Arabidopsis thaliana: one gene and its partners. The protein of the gene in region 1 purifies or fractionates together with the protein of each later gene. This does not show direct contact. Each region holds a gene or a part of one and is shown on either strand. Other genes may lie near its edges.

Region 1 (6,417 bases):
TCAATGGAGATGGTCTTAATACTATAACATAGTTGGCTTAACCATCCATAATAATTATAAACTCTTTTAGAAATTTTTGGAATATTCAGACCAGTGGCGGATCCATGAAAACAATTTATGTAGGGCACAATAACATATGATTAATGATATTTGATTTACATAATAATCATATTAAGAACTATTTTATAATATTAAATTAATTATACATTGTCACCCTTAATATATTTTTAAATTGACATCGCCAAACACACTATTTTTAATTAGAAAGATGCATAGTTAGAAGTACAACTCACTACAAAAATGTAACTTATATATATATATATATATATATATATATATATATAATATTATTTATATTTACTTGAAACTTTAAATATTAAATTGACTAGAACATGATATAGCATTGTTTACTAATTCCCTAGTTTTTATTATCATTTTTAATTAAAATGTAGGTATACTTTACAATAGTTATGACTTCAAATTTGTTAAAGTTAAACTAGAATTACAAAAATAAAAATAGAACTGAAAAAGAATACTTTTATTTTTGTTTATTTTCAGCAGAACATAGTTTTACTTTAAAAAACGATAACAATGAATAAGAAAAATGCATCTAATTACATGAAGACGCTAAACAAGAATGTGGAAAACAAATATAAAATAAAGAGAATAAAAGCCAAAAACATTGTACACAGGGGTATCGAACACTGCATCTAAGATGTGGCATAGGGCACTTATTGCTAAATGATGTAAAAGATATAACCAATCAATTGTTACTAGCTAAAGTTTAAGAAGTAGTATGGGGAACGTGCCCTATCTCATGCTAATGTAGATCCGCCCCTGATTCAGACACAAGGATTCCAAGTCATATAGATCAAATCAAGAATCAAACTAAATTTCAAATAGATATCAAGTTGAATTATTATTTTTATAGTTAGATTATGGAAACTGATGTAAAATTCAAATGTTATATGAAGAAAATGAAAGGTAGTTAGAAAAGGTGATGCCAGTAAATTTTCACACTTGGTGTCAGTATGGATTAGTTACTCAATTTCATTTGATGACATCTTTTCCTGAAAAGAATCTCTTGATTTGTTACAATTAAGCTATCATTGAATTACACTGGCAAATTTGAATTTTTTATTTGGACTAGCCTATCATTTTATCATAGTTGTTGCCAATCTTATGTGTATTAATATACAAGATTTGTTTTGAAGTTAGATAATCCTTGTACAATTTTATTATGGTATGCATCCCATCCTAATTTGTGCATCCCCAGCTTCGACTTGCAGAAGATAAGTGTGAAGAATCAGATGCTAGAGCTAAGCAACTTGAGAAACAGGTATGCAGGTGGTTCATGCCTCAGTATATCATACAAATCTCTTCTTACGTACTGTTTATATTGTTTCATTACCTCGAGATTTTATCACATTTGTAAACTCAAAACCGATTTTTATTAGGTTGAAATCCTTGGAGAAGGTGTTACTATGAACGCACGTCTTTAAAGCAGGTAAGCTTCCGTTCTATTTAAATTCTGGATAACCTTTGACAAAAATTTAATTCTGTGAATGTGTTTCTTGCTTCAGAGAGAGGTTAGTGTCTTATCATTTATCTACATGGTCTCATACATTATTTTTTTATTATAAAGTTCCATGAGGCTTTATGATTCTAGTTTAGATCTTGGCCTATAAAAAAGTAGCATAATCCATAGAACCAAATTCTTTTCAGGCTGCTTTGAGAGTTGCATCACAAAATCATGGAGGAAGGAGGGTAGATGTTTTGGCTCTTCACACAGAAGCTGAGGTACTTCAAGTTTTGATATGTTGTTGTTCTTACGGGTATTTGTACTAACACCTTAGATCTTGGAATCGTTTTAGATTGCTAGGGAGGAGGCAACATCTTCGTTAGAGCACCTTTATAAAGTTGAATTCGAGCTTAACTCTCTTAAGACCGTGACTAATAGATTGATATTGACTCGAGAGGAGTATTTTTAAAGGTTCATACTTTTTGTTTCCATCTAGTGTATTTTTTAAATCGATAGTTTCTCATCTGGAGCTCTCTTTAGGAAGAGATTGTTCTGAAGAGGTGCTGGCTTTTACGTTATTGGGGCTTATGCGTTAGACATGGTTGTACATTGCTTTCTTACACATTATAATCTATAAATATATAAACTTTGATAATGTATTCCGTCTATTTTTGAGACATGACAAAAAAATGCCTCATGATCCTTTATACAGAGCAAATACTTCAAAAATGTCTCTTAAATAATCATCTAATAACAGACCTCTGCTTCTAAAAAAGGATAGAGTCGACAAAAAGAGTTCACATGTTAAGATTTTTTTACCTTTAGTGAAGACAGCTCCCGCAAACCTTTTAAGAACAATAATCTCTACATTACTCTAAGTCATTCATTACATGATAAAAAGAAACACATCAATTATCTGATCTAGTTTCAATCCTTCTTTTTCTCAGCCTGGAGCTTACTCTTAAACTTCTCTGCTTTCTTCTGAGAGGCTCTCTCAGCCCTCTCTGCATCTCTCTCTGCCTTCTTTACAGCTCTCTTGGCTACAGACAAGAATAACTAATTCAGTAAATATACAAGTATTAAATTGTATGTATTGATTCCATGAGTAATGTAGCTTTGTTGTTTGGTTAAGACTTTCCATTTCGTTCCACACAAAGTGATTGTTGAGGAATTACCAATCTCTGATAATGATGTAGAATCCATGTATCCAAGATGATGAGGTTGGAAATGCTGAGATGAATCAATTGCACCAACTATTGAACATAAACTGTTAATATCAATGTCAGAAGAAATCTGTAGAACCATTATCCTAAAAAAAATGGTATTGCCAACACTGTATTTATCAAAAGGTTCAGAAAAAATGATTCAAAGTAGGTTCAAATGTTAGAGATTACTTACTTGTAAATTTTGCAGAAACGTAGTGTCATTTCACAAATTGATGACCGACTAACAATAACTTTTACATTGGAAAAAGCAATATCTTTAACCAAAGTCTCAAGCATGGCTTCCTTTGACTTTCCAAAGTTATGTACCTAGAAGACTAGAACCCAAAATAAAGGAGAAAAATAGTCAACAATTAAAAACACAACCATCCTTGAGAAAGACAGTTACAAAGGATGCCATGTTATGCAAGATTTGTTCAACCTGGTCTCACCTTTGCATTTTTCAAAGGATGCCTAATGTTACCTACATCGTCACTTTTAAAGACGATACCACAGACAACGCAAGATTTGCGAGAGTCTACTCCCAATATCTTGGCAACATGGACATCATCAATGTTCATGGTCATTGCATTCGTTAGGACTTAAGAGCATACCTGTAAACAGATGAACCATTCTATTGCAATAACACTGAAGAAATGAGAAATAATAAAAAAAATCTTACATGAATAAAATACCTCAAGTACTAAAGAATTTAAACTTTTTTGGTTAAACTGCTTGCTAGTTATCATCCTCATTCGGGAAAGAAAAGTCTCTTGCACAACCATAGTCTCTCAGATATCTTAACTTGTTCTTGAAGTATCTCAAGAGCCTACCGAACAAAAAAACAAATATGATATTTATGTTTTAACTCTAGAAATAATAAATAGTAATAAGGACGCATCATTCACCTTTTCCAAGGATTTTGTATATCCCGAAATGTTATCAGTCTCATCTCTTTCAAAGAATCTTTATGGTTGAGAATTGATCTAGCAAAAGGAATGGCTAAATCATCTCTTTCATCTTTCTGCTGCTTAGAGGCTATTTCGGATATGATAAAAAGCTCATCTATCTTATTAAGGATTGATGTTGCCAAGCATAAAAACAACACAGAGATAAGTTACACTTACGTATTACAAAGAGAGCAAAAGTTAGAGATATCAAGTAATAAATGAAAAAATATGTATTGCCTAATAAGTAATTAATAATTTAATAAGAAATAAAAACTATATGAAAAATATTTTTTATCATACAACATATGCTATAATCACTGATCATAAGTCATAACTAGAAATATAAATTTCTATATGCCGTTGTGGTAGACGAAACAATTACGAGCTAACTATCAAATCAAATAATATATCTCTTAGTTACTTGATTTTCCTTTTTCTATTTTACAAACCGTGAGAAAACTTTAAAAACTGTACCTAAACCATAAACAAAAAGATGATAATGCTATTATAATTGGAAAAGGGTACTTTGGATAATTATTACACAATCGTGGGATGAAAACTATAAAATAAATAAATTTAGGTACTATCGATAACAATAATAAATTATTGGGGATGAAAGTATAAATAATTAAAGAAGAAACTGTTCTCAATCCGACCGTTGAAAGCCACTCGCAATTTCTGGCTAAATGACCGAAGATCAGTCAGAGAGAGAAATATGTGCTGCCATAAATGGCAAATTTATTCATTGCTTTTTCTTTTGAAACATTCTTTGAGATTTCTGTTGAATCTAATTTTGTAAGGTTCTGTTTAATTCACGCATTTAATTCTTTTTCCATTTTTCTGGATTTCACTTTTCTGTGATTTCCAAAATTTTGACAAATTTGGTAACTATTTTTTTAATTCAATGTGTGGAATTTTTAGTTCCAATCAAACTGCCATTGATGTGAATGTGATGATGAAAATCAATGTGCTTAATTTTTGTAGTTGACGATGAGAAACACGAGACCTATTCATGTTAGGAATAAGAGTACGGAACCAGGAACACCATCTTCGCCTATGATGACGTCTCCTCTAATGCATCGTCATACACGTTCAGGATCAAATGCTGGGCCAGCTTCGAATGCTAAGAAAGCTCAGACAAAAGCAGCTGCTCAGAGACTTGCGGCTGTGATGTCAAATCAAACAGGGGACGAGGAAGATAGTGATGAAGACCTTTCCTTTGACTATAATGCTATCGGAACAGGGAGCATTGGACTCGCAGCTGGAAGATCTCATCCTTCTCGCTCTCCTGTGGTAATTAAAATTAACAGACTCACTTTTTCACTGTAATGAGGGTTTTGCAATGTAGGGATTTTATGTGATAGTGTTTTCTGGACTGACAGATTAGGAATCCTATGGCAAGGCGTCAACAGATGGCAACTCCACAGTTAGTTGATGAGGACAATGAGGATGATGATTTTTCAGTGGATGTAACGAGCAGTAGACCAAGTATTGGACTTCCTGGTGGAAGAGCAATGAGACCTCAGTCTCCTGTGATGGTCAGTCTAGTTTTAAGTTCTTTTGCCTGCCAAGTGTATCTTGGTTTCAGCTTTCATATGTTGTTACTCTTTTGGTGCAGACTAAGATTGCACCTCCGAGACGTACACAACCAACAAACGAAGGAAATAAGAATGACGGTAATGATGATGATGATGTTGTTTCTATAGATTATACAATTGGTAGACCAAGTATTGGGCTTGGAAGTGGGAGGGCTATGCGGCCACAATCTTCTATGGTATTGATCGACTCTTGAAACTTGTTGTTTCTAGGTTTTTATTATTATTTTCATATTTTAACTATTTCTCAAAATTTCAATATTTTGGAAAGCACAGAACAAAACCCAACCACAAGGGCGTCCGGTGATGGCAGCTCATCAGCGAGCAGATGAGGATAACGAAGATGATGAGACTCCATATGTTTATACAAGCAGCATTCCAAGTGTAGGACTTCCTGGTGGAAGGGCTGCACGGTCACGTTCTCCTCTGGTAATTAGTTTGTTAAACACACTCATTTTGAATCTTGTACTTGTATATCAGCTATAAGAATGTTGAGAGTCATGTTGCTAGTAGTGAAATTTTTGATATCCTTACTGTTCTTGCTAGTTATTATTCGTTAAACTTGATATTTCACTTTGTGTATTACAGACTAAAAACCCTCCACTGAGGCATCCACATGCAGTAGCTCAGCCACCATCCAATGGAGAAAGTGATGTTGATTATGATGAGTCGTATACTAGTGGCATGCCAAGCATTGGACTTGCAGGTGGACGATCAATGAGACCTCGCACTCCTTTGGTAATTTTAGTTCGTAGCTATTCTGTCTCACATTGATACTTTCTCTATTTGAACTTAGTCTCTATAATGTCCCCTCTAATATGAATCCTGAACTAGTACATGTTTTACTACAATGATATTTTGCTAGCTTTTCAGAAATCTGTCATTCAAGAACAGGTTTTATATTCCAAAATATCATAGTACTAGAAAATTGTTTATTGGTGTTTTGAAGTTTGTAAAAGTTTTATCAGCATTAACCATGAAAGAAGAGTGTGTAGTTAACGTTTTTGAGTATATACATCAGCATTAACTTTATCACGCCTCAAAGTGTTTTGTTGCTTTTACGTCTTCTAAAACTTCCTTTAATTTTCCATTAGTCAATTCGTACTAAGGAACAACCTCAGACCGGACTTCCAACTTCAGGTAGCCGA
Region 2 (7,788 bases), on another chromosome or scaffold:
GTCGCTGGAGTCAACGAAAAAACTTATTGACGGAACAAGAGATTGTGATTATAAGAAGAAAAAAATTTGAGAGAGAAATCGCCCACGCGTAAATATCACTTGCCCGACTTCTTTCTAGTATAACTCCAAGAAAAACACCCAAGAAACTCCATCTTCTACATTCTTGACCCCATTTTAGATACAAACAATGTTTTTTCCAATCCTTATACTAAAAACTATTTCTTTGCTTTATGCAATACTTCCAATATCCAATGCACAATATAAGCTAATATCTCTATTTTTATCTCTTTATTTTCTTTGCTAAATTATATTAATTATTTTACTCATTTTTGTGTTTGTCTCCTGAAAGCTTTGTTCCATCTCCTTACATTGCAAAACGAATCTATCCGGATTTTGTATTCACAATCTCTGTAAGTCCAACCAATAAATTTCGGTTTGGTTTAGCTTACCAGTTACCACTCCATACTCTAAAAATTTAGAGGTCAACAAAATAAACGAACTCACTCGAGTTAAAAAAAAAAATCCTCCCATCAATACGCCTCCATAAACCTCTCTCTATCTGGTGGAGCGACACCAAAAACAACAAAGCCTTCTCATTTTCACACTTTGGGTAATCGGAGAATCACAAAAAAATGGGAACCCTAGGACGAGCAATTTACACTGTGGGTAACTGGATTCGTGGAACTGGTCAAGCTCTTGATCGCGTTGGTTCTCTTCTTCAAGGAAGTCACCGTATCGAGGAACATCGTAAGCTTCCAGATCCTTCCACTTAATACTCTCTATTGAAACCCTAGATCCAATTCGTTATCTCTAATTTGTGTCTTCACCTTTGATTGGAGAAATTTGTGGCTTAGATTGAAAAAATTTGATTCGAGAAATTTGTGTTTGTTTTCAGTGTCGAGGCATCGGACGTTGATGAATGTGTTTGATAAATCACCATTGGTGGATAAAGATGTGTTTGTGGCTCCGAGTGCTTCTGTTATTGGTGATGTTCAGATCGGAAAAGGCTCGTCGATTTGGTATGGCTGTGTTCTTCGAGGTGAGGCTTTATTACTTCTAGAAAGTCTTAATGGCCTTTGGTTCGATAGAAGTACCAAATTTTGCAGCAGTATATTGTGCAAAGTAGTCATAGTTTAGTTTTAGGAAATGAAGTTCTCTTTACCTTCTAATAATCTTGTATCGCTGTTATACGTTACTGTCCTGATCATTGGACATAGATTTATTGTACTGTCGATAAAATGTGTCATGAAGTAGCTGTGAAACTTATTGTATGTTAATCTGGGTTTCTAACTTGTGCAGGTGATGTGAATAACATCAGTGTTGGATCTGGGACGAATATCCAAGATAATACGCTTGTACATGTTGCAAAGACCAACATAAGTGGCAAGGTTCTACCTACTCTGATTGGGGACAATGTAACAGTAGGTAAACCTTAAAAAGCGATTTATCAGTTTTGAAGTATCTGTTTTTATGTTGTGTTACACGATTGTTAGTTAAAGGTTTTGTTTGTAAAATGAAACGGAGCAGGTCACAGTGCTGTCATTCATGGGTGTACTGTTGAGGATGATGCTTTTGTTGGTATGGGAGCAACACTACTTGATGGTGTGGTGGTTGAGAAACATGCCATGGTTGCTGCTGGTTCTCTTGTGAAACAGAACACGCGAATCCCTTCTGGAGAGGTTTCTTTCTTTCCACTTTATCTTTTCTGGTTTACTGCTTACGGAGTTTGTGATAAGACTGGAACTGGAAACTGCTTTATTTCTCACTAAACTGAACGAGAAAATCCAAAGTATCAAGAACCAAAAATAGAACTCTAGCTAGGTTTACTTATCACGGACCCTGAAGCTCTACCAAGCCTAATAACGAACTGCTAATTAACCAAGTAATAGCAGCTGTAGTCTGCTGCATTTAGTCCTACGCTGACCTGTAGCTAAGGCTTGACCAGCTGAACTTCTTCAAGTAGATCCACTTTTGCTTTGCTTACAATTTAGTTGATACAGAATTAGTTAATGAAATGATATGCCTGTAAATTGTATTATATTTTGATCAAAAAGAAGAGTAAATAGTATTTATATATCGTCTAAATCTGAGAACCACCTTTGTTTCCGTTGCAATTCTACTTGTATATGAAACAAGGGTGAGTTGGGAGTAACAGAGGGTTCTTGTGTTTCCAATGTTTTATGAGGAATTAGACGGATTTCTTATATCGCTATGCTTTTGAACTACTTTCTTCAACCGTCAACCTGAGAATATATTTACAAGGACATATCTATAAGTTATCAGTTTCATGTGGCAGGTGTGGGGAGGAAATCCAGCAAAGTTCATGAGAAAGTTAACAGATGAAGAGATAGTATACATCTCACAGTCAGCAAAGAATTACATCAATCTCGCACAGATTCACGCCTCAGAGAATTCAAAGTCATTTGAGCAGATCGAGGTTGAGAGAGCGCTTAGGAAGAAGTATGCACGCAAGGACGAGGATTACGATTCAATGCTTGGGATTACCCGTGAAACTCCACCGGAGTTGATTCTTCCCGACAATGTCTTACCAGGTGGTAAACCCGTCGCCAAGGTTCCGTCTACTCAGTACTTCTAATTCCAATCTCAGGTTGTTTTTGTGTGTTGAAATCATTTCAAGACAGGATTGATTCTCTGGAAGGTCAAGAGAGATATTATTTTGGTTTTAACTTTTCTTCCGAGCAAGCAGGAGATTTATCATCCTTGCTCAATAATGTATGGTTGCATTATGAAGTCATTTCTTCGAGGAACAATTTGCAGAAAGAGAAACAAAGTTGGATTAATCTTTCATTCTTTCTCTCGCTGTTTCTCTCATTCAAAATGGTGTCTGTTTGATACACTCTCTAGGTTGGCGATTCGCCGATTATTATTATCATGTGACAGATTTGACTTAAGTAGGACTAAACATAAGCTAGTGGCACTCAATAACTCCTTGTTCCAAGCTGTTAAATAAACAAAGCCGAATAAAAACCACAATTGTACTTGGAAGTTGGAACATATCAAAGAGCTACACACAAGAAAATTGGTTAGAAAATCCAACTTTGAACTCATTCCCTCTTGCTCAAATTTCCATTGGTGCAACATCTTGATCACCTGAACCACCTTGTTCACCAGTTCCAGCAGCACCAGGAGCAGCTTCGGGTTCGGCCTCACCCTCACCAGCATCTTCCTCTTCCTCAGGAACCTTCTCAAACGTATCAATCACCTTTTGAATGCTTTCCTGGTCCAAGAAATGGAATGGTTCATCGACTCCTAGAACAGAAACAGTGCAGAGCGAGCTCTTCAGTGTTTCCCCTTGCAAAGTTTCCCTTATGGCCATAATAGCATCTTTTATCAGATCTTCTTTTGATGATTCTTGGAAGCTCTCGAATTTGCGCTCCAGATAGGTTTTCGCAGCTTGTGAACGAGACCCGATAGCGAATGCTTGATATTCAAAGTAGTTTCCGCTAGGGCAGTTGTAGTAGAGGTGAGCTCCTGACTCGTCCAATCCACCTACCAGCAAACCCACACCATAAGGCCGTTTCCATGATCGTTGGGTACATACCTGCTCAAAGATAATTTATGAAGATGTTTAATACAAGACAAACAAATGACTTAACATTTGAATGAAATCAGAGTGTTGTTCAAACTACAAGACTGATATCAATACGTTCTCAGAAATCAATTGAAAATGTAGATACAGCAGCTAACTTAATTTTTGACAGACATGAAAGTAAGTGGGACGTAGCAATCAAACCTTTTAAAAATTGTGAACACATCATCTAACTTGAGAACACTACGTTTAACACCAAAAGTAGTGAACATGTAGCACAAATTTCTATCACAACTGTAAACCAACATCTTACTGAAAATATACTTCATTAGGCAAGTAAATAAAGTGGCCAGGACATACTACAACTACAAGTAAGTAAACAAATGCAAAGTAATACAAGTCAAAACCACAAAACCAAAAAGAGATCAACAAAGACGTATATTTATTCTAGAATTGCAAGCAAAAACAACTCTATCAAGCAAAGAGAACAGACGATGACAACACAGAAACAACCAAACGACCAAAATCATCACATTCTTATACACTTCTATCGTCAAAGTGGGTATACAGGTTAACTCTTTCTAATCGGATTAAGCAACTAGCAACAGAACTGGATATGATTAACAACACAAGAATCTCTAATTCCCAATCACTAAGACTTGATCACAAACCAATATCACTACTTGCATAACAACACACACATTCTACAAATAAAATTGGCCACATTGCTAATAAAAACCTAAACTTTACTCCAATTACATAAAGCTTCAAACTTTCAGATACTCACACATCATAAAACTAAACCCTTTAGCAAATTCTAGGTCAAAATTCAAAAGTTAACCCAAAAATCTCAATTTACCTGAGCTTTATCAGCAAGATGAACAACAAGACGACCAACAGGAAGAGGAGACTCATAAGTAAAAGAGTGATTAATAGACTCAGATCTCATATATCGAGAGAGAACACGACCATCAGCAGTGAGACCAGCAATAGCAACACCAATATGATCATCGACTTTAAAGATCTTCCTTTGATGAGAAGAGAGCTCTGATTGTGCTTTGTTGACACAAGCGAGGACGACATGAGAGCGAGATCTGAGTCCTATTGCTGCGGAGCCTTGTTTCACAGCTTCCATGGCGTATTCGACTTGGAATAGTCGACCTGTGGGACTCCATGTTGTCACATCTGTGTCGTACTGGTTCCTGAACATCTTTCTTCTTCTTGTTCCTCTGTTCTTCAAAAGCTTTTCGTTTGCTTCAAGCTAGAGGAGGATGGTCTCTCTTATAGAGCTTAGAAGAAGAAAGTAAAGATTGTCAAAAAAAAGAGAAAGAAGACAGTAGAGTAAAATGGGCTTATGAAACTTAATGGGCTGGGTTTAATTATCCATTACTCTTTATTATTTTTTACACATTTAAAAGGATTATAATTTTATAAATAAATACTTAGCATTATATTATTTCTTTTTATAGTAATTAATTTAATTCATAATTTAACATTTGCAGTTTCAATTGGTTTTACATTATTTATTTACACATTTTTCACTACACTGATTATAAATTTACTATTCCCTCTGATCCTAAAACAATGATATTTTGGATTTTTCACAAATTAAAAAAAATAACTTTTATATTATTTTTATTGTTTTTTCTTACTGCAAACTATGTTTTAATCTATGAATGTAGATCATTACAGAGAAGGTTTTTGAACCAAATTGGCTCGTTCCTAAAGTCTGCTTTGAACACAGAAATCGTAAAAATTGGGGAAGCAAAATAGTCCGCTTAAAACACAAAAATCGTAAAATTAGGAAAACTAAATGGTGAGCTATACTATTACAAAGACGTTTTGTGAAAGTAAATACAATAGATGAAAATCTGAAGACCAATACTCTAAATCTAGAAGTAAATTAGCAATTTTACTTCTATTAGACTTGCCATTGATGGTTTTAATGAGGACTTCGCAATCTCTTTGGAATTGTACTTTCTTGTATTTTTGTATCCAAATTTGTTGCATCGCCACAAGTAACGCTTTCGTCTCAGCCTTTAGGAGAGTGTTGACATGATCTAAAATTGAAGATCCTCATGTGTTTGCTATCCCTTCATGGTCTCGTATAATCCATCCACCCGTACTTTAAGTACTATTCCTGTGTAAGTCCGCATCGAAATTGCACTTGACAAAAGAAACTGTCGGTTTTCTCCATGAAGTATTTTCCGATGATGGTGCTCTTGTTGTAGTAGTTTTTTCTTGCCTCCCTCTCGTGTTTATAATTCATTTATTATTTTTTTAATTAATTTAATAATATCAGTTCTACTTTTTTTCCTTTCTCTATTGATCACTAATGAAAATAATATTAATTTAAAACATCAACTTTTGTGAAACAAAAGTAAAATTTAAAACATCAAACTTCATGGACTAGAGGGAATTACAAGTTATTGTATTTTATTATTTCTAATTTTATGAAAATTAATAATTTAGCATGTGTAGTTTAAATTGGTTTGGAATAAAATTAATTTAGAAATCTAAACAAATAAAGTCACATGTTATTAGATTTTTAATTTGATATTTTGTTTTTGATAAAATCTTGTATTATTTGGTTGGAAACAAAGAGTATTAAAATTGTGTCAATTAGCTAACTAGCCAAATTCGACATACAAATTAGCAAAATAGTCATACGTCAGAAAACTTTAGTAAATAGTTTTTTCTTGGGGTGTAAAATAACCAAAATAACCTGGAAAAATAGACGGGAACTCGTGAGTTCCGACACTAGGTGTCTATATGTAGGGAACATAAACATGCGTAGGTAATGAGTAACCCGTTTTATTTATAAAACACACGCCATTTATATATGTTTTTGTTCCTGATGAGCCACATAACTTATAGATTTCAATTACCAATGAGAACATAAACATGCGTAGATAATGAGTAACCTGCTTTATTTATTAAACACACGATATATATAGATGTATTTGTTCATTTTTTTCTTAATTCTATAAACCACATACCTTTTAGATTTTACAGATGCATTTGATATTTAAACACTAACTTATATCACTAAATATGTCAAAAACGGACCATATATATATACAGATGTTTGCTTTGTATGCGACTAGTTATTCAATGGAGACTAACAGATAAAAAGGTCAATGGTAACTGTAACATAGAATGTTATTTAAAAACAACACATGTAATTCCTATATGCATACGCTGTATGAAAACAATGGGCGTGAGTTGGAAATTGTGTATTGGGCAATAAACTCGGCAAAGTATCAACTTATAGAGATCATACATTACATGCAATGTTTCGTTATATCAGTAATCATTAGTATGCAACTTGCTACATAATATGGTCGCCAAATCTTATTTGCGATTTGACAATGTAAATCTATCCGTAGGAAAATATTTGATACGTATCTATTGCATTAAATGCGGCGACAGTGTTATATACGAGTTCCAATGTTGCATTGGGGGAAGGGGTGAAACAAATTCCAAAAACAACGTGTTTCGTATAAATATAACATAGGATAACCACTAAGCATCCACCAGATAAACGACACGTCGCGCATGACGTCTGCGATAATGTTAAAACACATGAATTATTGTGGTTATGCATGTAATTCAAATACAATTCAGTTATATGTTTGATGCGACATTTACAGAAGCGACAGATTCCATCGATTAGCAGCCCTTCGAGAGTTTGGAGGGAAATCATAATTATTCAATATTATGTGGCTTAAAAGCTTGTAAGCACTGTTGCGGAAAATGTCTTAATATATTGTAGCCCTACTTCGTAGCAAAAGATTCCACATATAACAGGAGAGATGAGTAGCATTTAAAACACACGATAATGAGTAACCCGCTTTATTTATAAAACACACGCCATCTATATATGGCGTTGTTCTGGATGAGCCACATAACTTATAGATTTCAATTACTAATGAGAACGTAAACATGCGTAGGTAATGAGTAATCCGCTTTATTTATAAAACACACGATATATATATATATATATATATATATATATATATATATATGTATTTGTTCCTTCTTTTTTTTTTAATTCTATAAACCACATACTTTCAATTACAGATGCATTTGATATTTAAACCCTAACTTATATCACTAGATATGCCAAAAACGGACCATATATATAGAGATGTTTACTTTGTATGCGACTAGTTATTTAATGAAGACTAACAGATAAAAAGGTCATTGGTAACTGTAAAATAGAACGTTATTTAAAA
Region 3 (8,891 bases), on another chromosome or scaffold:
TCGTAGCTCAACTCGGGTTCAGACCAGATTCTTTTGATTTCATCAAGGACCATGCCGAGAATCTGCTGTACACGATCGCTGATGCCGCCGTTTCGTCCTCTGAAACCTTTGAATCTGTCGCCGGCACTACTACCAAAACGACCCAGAGCAATGATTGGTTCTCTGGTATTGCTAATTACATGGAAACTATTCTCAAGGTATTAAAAGTTTTGTCTTTTTTGGTTTAGAAAGAAATGAATTTTTGTGTAGCTATATGATTGATTTTGAATTGGATTGCAGGTTTTGAAAGATGGGTTATCAACTGTACATGTTCCTTATTCCTATGGTTTCGCTATCATTCTATTGACTGTGCTTGTTAAGGCTGCTACGTTCCCATTGACGAAAAAACAGGTTTTTAGTTTGTTTCTATTGCTGCTAAGCCATGATATCATTTTTAGTCCATGTTATTGAATTGGTGGTTTATTCTCTACAGGTTGAATCTGCCATGGCTATGAAATCTTTGACGCCTCAAATAAAGGCTATTCAGGAACGGTATGCTGGTGATCAGGTGAAAAACAATTCTTCTATACTGTACACATGGGTTTTATTTGTCCTGATGCTATACTAAGTTATGTTTGCATCAATTCTTAGTTGATGGAGTTAAGGAAAAAGTAAGAACATGTGTGTTGCTATTGGTTCCACAATTGTGGAGGGATACTAATGAATATAACAAATATTATAGCTTTACTATGTATGAATATAGCCCTCTTGTTTAAACAAATAGCTTCTTTATTTTTGTTTATCTTTGCAGGAGAAAATTCAGCTTGAAACTGCTAGATTGTATAAGCTTGCTGGAATAAATCCCCTTGCAGGTACAGTATGTTACTTCAGCTTATCGTATGTTTTTCCATTTGAGACAACATTTATGGTTAAGCTATATTTTCATTTATCTGTTAGGCTGCCTCCCCACACTAGCCACGATACCTGTCTGGATTGGGCTATATAGAGCCCTCTCAAATGTTGCAGATGAGGTACCTGGAAATAACTATATCCTTTTGTATCTGTAAGTGCCTTGAGATTCTTTTTTGACAAGTAGTTGGATGCTTGTTTCTAACTTTAGGGGCTCTTAACGGAAGGTTTTTTCTGGATACCTTCTCTTGCTGGTCCAACGACTGTTGCTGCAAGACAGAATGGCAGTGGAATCTCATGGCTGTTCCCTTTCATTGTAAGTATCATTTGAAACTTGATATTTCGAAAATGGAATCTAGACTAGACTCATAGTTCTTACGAACTCTTATTCAGTTTAATTGTTCAAGCATATAAAACTGATTAAAATGAATTATTGAAGAAAACTTGAGGGGAGTGGTGTCGGACCTCATCGCTGATGTCTACAAATTTCCATTTTATTTCTCAGGAGGGACACCCACCTCTCGGATGGCCAGACACATTAGCATATCTTGTCTTACCTCTATTGCTCGTCTTCTCTCAATACCTCTCCATTCAAATTATGCAGTCCTCGCAGGTATAGCATCATGTGGAATATGTGATAATAGTCTATTAGTAGTTACGTCTATGTTGAAAATGTGTACCACATTGGTGCCTGTGCTGAAAGCTCATTCCATTAAAGTATAATTCAATCAACAACGAAATCCTTCTATGCAACAGAGAAATTTATGTTTCTTATCATTTTTTGTCAGAGTAATGATCCAGCCATGAAGAGCTCACAAGCAGTGACTAAGCTTCTTCCACTGATGATTGGCTATTTTGCATTATCAGTTCCTTCTGGTTTAAGTCTTTATTGGTGAGTCTAATTTTCTGTGGTTTTCGTGAGTGGTCAGCTTCCACTCGCTATTCTTCTCAGTTTTAAAGTGTTTTTGCAGGCTGACCAACAACATTTTGAGCACGGCACAGCAAGTATGGCTTCAAAAATATGGTGGTGCTAAGAATCCAGTGGAGAAATTCACTAATTTGGTCACTAAGGAAGATAAAACACAACAAATTGAGAAGTCTTTTTCAGAACCACTAGTTCAGAAGTCTGTTTCAGAACTGAAAATACCAAGAGAGAAGGGTGGTGAAAAGGTGACCCCAGAATGCCCCAAACCTGGTGAAAGGTAACCAAATCTTCTAAAATGTGTCATCATTCGTTCCTAGAAGCTGTTTTTTTGTACTAACACGTCCATGTGATCCCAGGTTTAGGCTGCTGAAAGAGCAAGAAGCAAAGAGACGTCGAGAAAAAGAAGAGAGGCAGAAAGCTGAAGCAGCTCTATCTAATCAAAATACAGACAAAGCACATGAACAAGATGAAAAATCTGATACAGCCATTGTCGCTGAAGATGATAAAAAAACAGAACTTTCTGCTGTGGATGAAACATCCGATGGCACAGTAGCTGTGAATGGGAAGCCATCCATTCAAAAGGACGAGACTACGAATGGGACATTCGGCATTGGCCATGATACAGAACAACAGCATTCTCATGAAACAGAGAAGAGGTAAAGACTCATGTTTTCATGTCTTAAGGCGAAGCCAAACAAACAAAGAGGAATTGAGATTTGAATAAGACGAGGAGAAATCTTGGTACTCAGGCCTTGTAGTCCCTCTGCAACAGATTTCGAAGTTTATAGATCTTAAGAGTGGGAAACATTAGTCTTCAGGGTTTAGATTTTGTGTACAAAGACCATAGCAGATGGGTATTTGAAGCCTTCGAAGCTTGGTTTCATATTTCTTATGTTCTTATGTACAAGCAAACAATTACTTTTGTCCTCGTTCACTGGTGTTACACTAATACGATAATAGTTTAGTCTACAGTATGAGACCTGCATCAGTTACTAAATCGAAAAGAAAATGCAAACGAGTGCTTCGATCTGTGGACAAGTACACACAAAAATTAAGATCTGACGATGTTCTTAAATAGAAGGTTGCAAAACAAAGGGAACAAGTCAAGGATAACGATGTCGAAGGGTATCAAAAGCTAATAGAAAGCAAACAAAAAACACCGAAGAAGCCAAAGGTTAGGACAAAGGTAGCAACAAATCAGTATTCAGAATTGGAGATGACATCGTCGATCTTTAGAATCATCTTAACGACTTGCGTAGCTAGCAAAATTTGTTGCTGTTTCCCGATCAATGTTTCAAACACATTTTGCTCCCTCATATCGTTTGTTCCCACGTCATTGCAATCTATTCCATAGAAGGGAATATTCTCCTGTTCATCAAAACCCAATGTTTGTTCAGTCACCGAACAAGCAAGTCAATGATATAGATAATAAAGTTCGTCGTTTACTAACCTTAATTTGCTGAGATTTAACCGCAGAGAGTGTCTCAATGGGCTGTAATCCACTGTTCTCTGCAAGAGCCATAGGGACAGAGTCCAAAGCTTCTGCAAACGCCCTAATTGCATACTGTAAATGAGGAAGTATTTATACATGATTAGTATTCAGAGTTACAATTTGAGAAACAAATGATTTCATTTCAGGGTATCAAAGAGGAAAGATCATATTTTACCTGCTCCACGCCAGGGTATTTATCAGCAGCTGCATCAACCGCAAGTGAGCAAGCGATTTCAGCTGCCCCACCTCCATAAACAATTGATTTGTTGCGGATGAGATTCCTAGCCACACACAGAGCATCGTGGATACTACGTTTCGTCTCTTCTATCATCATTTTGTTACCTAAACCATATTCCGCAACAAATCGTTGGATCAATCAGTTATACAATATCGTTGTCCACCATATACTTAGAAGGCATTAGATTCAGTACATCGATGTTTATCTCTCATCAGCTATTCAAAAGTCAAAACAGTGCTGCTAAAGTGCTAATAAGTACAAAAGACAAGGCGATTACCTCCACGGATGAAAACAGTGACAGCTTTTGAGTTCGCACAGTGCTCAATATACAGCATTCGTTCTTTTGTTGTGCCAAAAGATTTCTCACGAACCACGCCAGCCTAAATATATCAGGAAATGTTGGGTTTCAATGGTCTGTTTAAAATCTAATTAACATTTTACAAGCAAAACCTAGTGAAAGTAAAAAAAATACCTTCCCTAACTTCTCTGGGGTCAACTCCTGGAATCTTGGAACAATTCTACCGCCTACAAAAAGAAAAATTTCTGATCAGCTTTGCATAACTGATACAAACACTAGCATTAGATGCTTAAGAGTACTTTACTTACCTGTGGCTATTGCGATAAGTTCTAATTCAACACCCCCTACCCATCTGACAGCAGGCAAATTCCTGTGCATCAATAGATGGTTTGCCTCATCATCGAATCCCCATTGGCAAATAACCAGCGTAGCACCAACATCCTGCAAAGTTAAAATCATAAGGGTCATACATAAATCATATCATAAAATGCATTGTGGTACTAATGACCATTGTCAAAAGGATTTCTTCAGTAGCTTACTCAACATCCAACTGACAATATAAATTAATACAAATTAAAACCTACCTTGCACTTTTGTACCATCTCATCGAAATATTGCTGCTCTTGCTTGCGCAATGTCTCAAACTTTTCCACTGTATCAATGTCCACCTTATGCTTAGTCTTCGGCTTCGGTGGCTCAAAGGGACAAGTCAAAATGGCAATGTGGGCATCTTCAATCTGCTTTGGCATTTGCGGATGACTCATATCTTTGTCAATCAGTATTCCATAAATAAGCTCAGTGTCCTCCAACTTTCCCCCAACTTTCCCCTCTACTTTGATCAGATCTAAGTTAACATCCCTCCTCTCTAAATCAGCAACAGCAAGAACCGCTTTAACAGCAATCTCAGCTAAGCTGCGCTTGCATCGATTCACACTGTAACAATGAGCAAGAAAGAGTTAAGACAGTATACTATAAACCAAGTAAAAACAAGCAACAACTATTGAAAAGTAGCCTGAATATCAAAAAGGAACATTACATCTTCGAGGACAGAGTAGTCATGCAAGTCTGAACCAGAGGCTCATAATTATTAACATCGAATTCAAACTTTTGGGCAATACGCTCCAAATGCTCAACAGCCACCCTAGAAGCCATCTCATATCCTTCAGCAATACGAATGGGATGAATTCCTCTATCTAACTGACGTTCAGCTTGCTCAAGAAGTGCACCAGCCATAACAACAACACCTGTTGTTCCATCACCAATTTCATAATCCTGACTCCGCGACAGTTCCACCATTAGTTTCGCAATCTGGTTGTCAACATCCATTTGCTCCAATATCGTAGCACCATCGTTTGCTGCAAAAGCAAAACAAAGGCGAGGTTACAAACAATATACAAGTAGTAGTAGAGCTGAGCTAAGTTAACAGACATAGCGAATCGATTTTCAAAAAGTAGATGGATCTATTCATCAAACTACGGCATCAACATAGTAAACACTATGCCAAGTAAACAAGAGCGAAACTAGAAATTTAAAAGCAGATATGAAGAAATCAAAAGGAAGAAACGAACTGATGGTGATGTCTCCGTCAGGTCCTTGAAGCATCTTATCCATTCCTTTGGGTCCAAGAGAGGATCGAAGGATCCGAGCCACGGCTTTACCAGCGGCGATATTGGCTTTCTGAGCATCGATTCCTCTAAGACGAGTCTTTTGATCTTGCTCTCTCAGTATAATGAACGGACGCCCGAACTCATCGAACGCCAGCGCCATTTTCGAGCTTCTCTCGATCCGATCGAACTATAGATCTTGGGTTTTTTTTGTTTCCTAGTGCACTGGAGAGGAAAAAAAAAAGTTGAAATGGGGAAAAAAGCGAGAAGAAGAATGTCTGGAAGATTTGAGAGCTTAAAGTGGTCGAGTGTAAAACCCTAACTCGCTGTTGATGGCAGAATCGTAAATCGGAATTGATTCATGGGCCTAACAAGACGTTTGGGCTTATGGGTTTAAAGCCCATCTGATATAAGATGAATAGAATGTTCATGGCAATACTATCATAATTTGGTTCTTTAATAAGACACTCGTTAATACGACGATTTGAAGTTGAACGAATGGTTTCATATTCATTCGCATGTTCACCAATCAAAATCTATATCTGAACAAGTCCATTTTTAGGTACTCCAGTAGATTTACATTGGATTGTAAGGTAATCCTACATCTTAGTTCAAACGTTTTCTATTTTATTTTTGGTCTTGATCACAAAACACAACTATATATACATATCAAACTCATCTTCGGAAATCATCACAATCAATAAACCTCAAACCCTAAAATAAATTAAACGAGTTCTACGTAAGAAGGAGAGAGAGAAGAATGGGTCGCCAAAACATTGTCGTCGTGGTTGCCCTCGTCTTCATGGCCATCATTGGCCTTGCCGCAGCTGCCTCCTCTCCATCTCCTTCAGCGTCTCCCTCCAAAGCTCCAGCTGCCTCCAAAACCGATCATGTCGAGGCTCCAGTCACCGATGACCAAATCGGAACCACCGATGACGATGCAGCTCCTACTCCTGGTGACGGTGACGTTGCAGTGGCTGGTCCTCTAGGAAGTGACTCCTCGTACGACAATGCGCCTACAGGCTCTGCTGATTCTGCCAAAAGCGGTGCGGCAGCTCTTGGCGTCTCTGCGGTCGTCGTTGGTGTTACATCCATTGCTGGTTCTTTCTTGTTACTCTAAGTTGGGCATTGTTTTATGATAAGAAGGTTATTTTAAACGAAGATTATTTATATGTAAGGATGATTGTGATGATCTTGTTGTAATTTGTTTCTCCTTTGTTAGGAGAAACGTTGTCTTTGTAATAATACTGAAAAAAAAAACTTTTCACTAACGGTGTTTAGATACAAAATTCTGAATTGAATATAATAATATACGATTTCGGGGTCAAAAGCCATAATAATTAATTAAGTAAAATTGTAACCATCGTGTATAAATCTTAATCAAAATGCAAACAAAAAAAAAACAAGAAAAAAATATCCTAATCAAAATGCATATATTTATGCATTTAGGGACGTTAAGATTACTCAAACTCTCTATCACTAGAGGAGATGATACAAGATTTAAGACTAGCCTTTGCCAGAGAATCAGCCAAAGTGTTCTCGGATAGAAATACCAAATAAAAGAAAAGGACATATTTTTTAAACTCCAAATAATAACTCAAACTAATAGACTAGATTGAAAATAAGTTTTGTCTCCAGAGAAAGAAAATATATTACATTGGAATTTTAAAGGTGTGAATGTGATGAGGAGCCAATTTCATGGTTGGGTTTGGGGAGCTTCCACTATAGAAGCTCAGCGAGGGACCCATACAAGGAGTGAAGGAAGAGCCGTACGCGTAGTAGTGTATACGGGTTCGTATTGGTGTGTTGCACTTTTGGTCCTAAACTCAACTAATAATACCTATTTTCTTTTTCTTTTTCCTTTTTCTTTTTCGATCTCTTTCTTTCTTTAGGATCTCTTTAGTCTTATCTATCAAAATACCACTTCGTATTTGGGGTATTCCTATCAATAACCAACCATACAAAGCATCAATGCATCATTCTCATATTCATATATCATACTTGATAAAGAAAGTTCCATATTCACTGACTGTCCAGATATTTATTATTTGAAAAGAAAAAAATTGTTCAACGATTTAAAGAGAAGTTTTTGAAATGACCATGTAAAAAGTGATGATTTTAAAGTAAAAGAGATCAAAAGGCATAGGAGTGCTCTTTCGAACTTGACACCTATTGCAAGATATTTAAACTTTCGAGAATGTTGCTCTTCTATGATATTTTCATTAAAATTTAAATAAAGAAAATAAATATCCTCATTTCAACTTGAACCACCACTCACAAGAGTCTAATCAACACTTAAAATCATTTTGTTCCAACAAATATCTAAGTTAATTCAAAAATACTTATCAAATTATAGGGTATATATTTAAAACAAAATTCTAAAATTCCATAAGAACGCCTACGAACGTACCAATCTAAGGCCTTGATTGGAGACATATATAAGTGCGTATTTCAATAGCTTTTTTGGAAAACCTCAATATGTCACCAATCACAGTTATTTTGTCAATTGCGTTATTTTTCAGAAAACAAAAAAAGTAATGTTGCGTTTTTTAAAGTAAGAACATTAATCAATGAAAACGCACTTATTTATCCAGCAAGTAATAAGCAGCGGTTCAAATAAAAATCCGCACTTGACAAAGAAAAAAAGTAATTTTTTTTTTATTAAATTTATGAAAATAGAAAAATGCTTAATAACAACCACTAATTAATACTTGAGTGGTTTGATACAACAGTTTATTAGAACTAAATTAACAATTAACAAGTTGTAAAATAATCATTTTAGTCAATTTTTACTCAATAGTTTAAAAGAAAATTATAGGTTTAGCTATAACAAATTTCTAAAAAAATAGTAGATGAAAATATTATTTCATTAACAATAAATGAAATTATATAGTTATAATTAAATTTATATTACTAATATATTTTGTTATCAATTATTTATCTTAAATATCTATTTACCAATCAAACAAATTCCGCAAATTATTTTCTTACCAATCAAACATTATTCCGTACCGCTTATGCTATAAAAACCACACTTGTACCGCAAATATATTTCTCCCGCATGTACCGCAGTTGGACCGTACCGCAGTATAAATCCGCTTTTCCCGCACTGCCAAATACGCTGTCACCATTCGACCCTAAGGCCTTGATTGGAGACATATATAAGTGCGTATTTGAATAGCTTTTTTGGAAAACCTCAATATGTCACCAATCACAGTTATTTTGTTAATTACGTTATTTTTCAGAAAACAAAAAAAATACTGTTGCGTTTTCTGAGGTAAGAACATTAATCAATGAAAACGCACTTATTTATCCAACAAGTAATGAGCAGCGGTTCAAATCAAAATCCGCACTTGACAAAGAAAAAAAGTGATTTTTTTTATTAAATTTATAAAAATAGAAAAAAACTTAATAACAACCACTAACTAATACATGAGTGATTTGAT

What was found.
Region 2: the proteins of AT4G08640 (region 1) and PAF2 fractionate together in Arabidopsis thaliana (co-fractionation; one large-scale study listed by BioGRID). This does not show direct contact.
Region 3: the proteins of AT4G08640 (region 1) and AT1G24510 fractionate together in Arabidopsis thaliana (co-fractionation; one large-scale study listed by BioGRID). This does not show direct contact.

The regions. Positions count from the first base shown.
Region 1 is NC_003075.7:5,510,207-5,516,623, reverse strand, and holds AT4G08640 (ATP binding protein), read right to left. Parts: upstream 3,312-6,417; coding exon 3,177-3,311; intron 3,055-3,176; coding exon 2,921-3,054; intron 2,832-2,920; coding exon 2,698-2,831; intron 2,563-2,697; coding exon 2,450-2,562; downstream 1-2,449. Other genes in the region: AT4G08630 (fas-binding factor-like protein), read left to right, coding at 4,665-4,967, 5,057-5,212, 5,293-5,448, 5,546-5,698, 5,858-6,007, 6,364-6,417.
Region 2 is NC_003070.9:17,316,192-17,323,979, reverse strand, and holds PAF2 (20S proteasome alpha subunit F2), read right to left. Parts: upstream 4,862-7,788; 5' UTR 4,761-4,861; coding exon 4,410-4,760; exon of another isoform or gene 3,563-4,409; coding exon 3,080-3,562; 3' UTR 2,778-3,079; downstream 1-2,777. Other genes in the region: GAMMA CA2 (gamma carbonic anhydrase 2), read left to right, coding at 633-747, 896-1,039, 1,300-1,425, 1,528-1,679, 2,297-2,596.
Region 3 is NC_003070.9:8,682,494-8,691,384, forward strand, and holds AT1G24510 (TCP-1/cpn60 chaperonin family protein), read right to left. Parts: upstream 5,754-8,891; 5' UTR 5,609-5,753; coding exon 5,410-5,608; exon of another isoform or gene 5,310-5,409; coding exon of another isoform or gene 5,270-5,309; exon of another isoform or gene 5,197-5,269; coding exon 4,878-5,196; intron 4,775-4,877; coding exon 4,426-4,774; intron 4,283-4,425; coding exon 4,150-4,282; intron 4,069-4,149; coding exon 4,016-4,068; intron 3,924-4,015; coding exon 3,821-3,923; intron 3,648-3,820; coding exon 3,481-3,647; intron 3,378-3,480; coding exon 3,264-3,377; intron 3,182-3,263; coding exon 3,011-3,181; 3' UTR 2,778-3,010; downstream 1-2,777. Other genes in the region: ALB4 (OxaA/YidC-like membrane insertion protein), read left to right, coding at 1-197, 280-390, 473-547, 791-851, 937-1,010, 1,100-1,204, 1,394-1,501, 1,677-1,780 and 2 more; BCP1 (homolog of Brassica campestris pollen protein 1), read left to right, coding at 6,206-6,565. UniProt on the Arabidopsis thaliana protein: Molecular chaperone; assists the folding of proteins upon ATP hydrolysis. Known to play a role, in vitro, in the folding of actin and tubulin.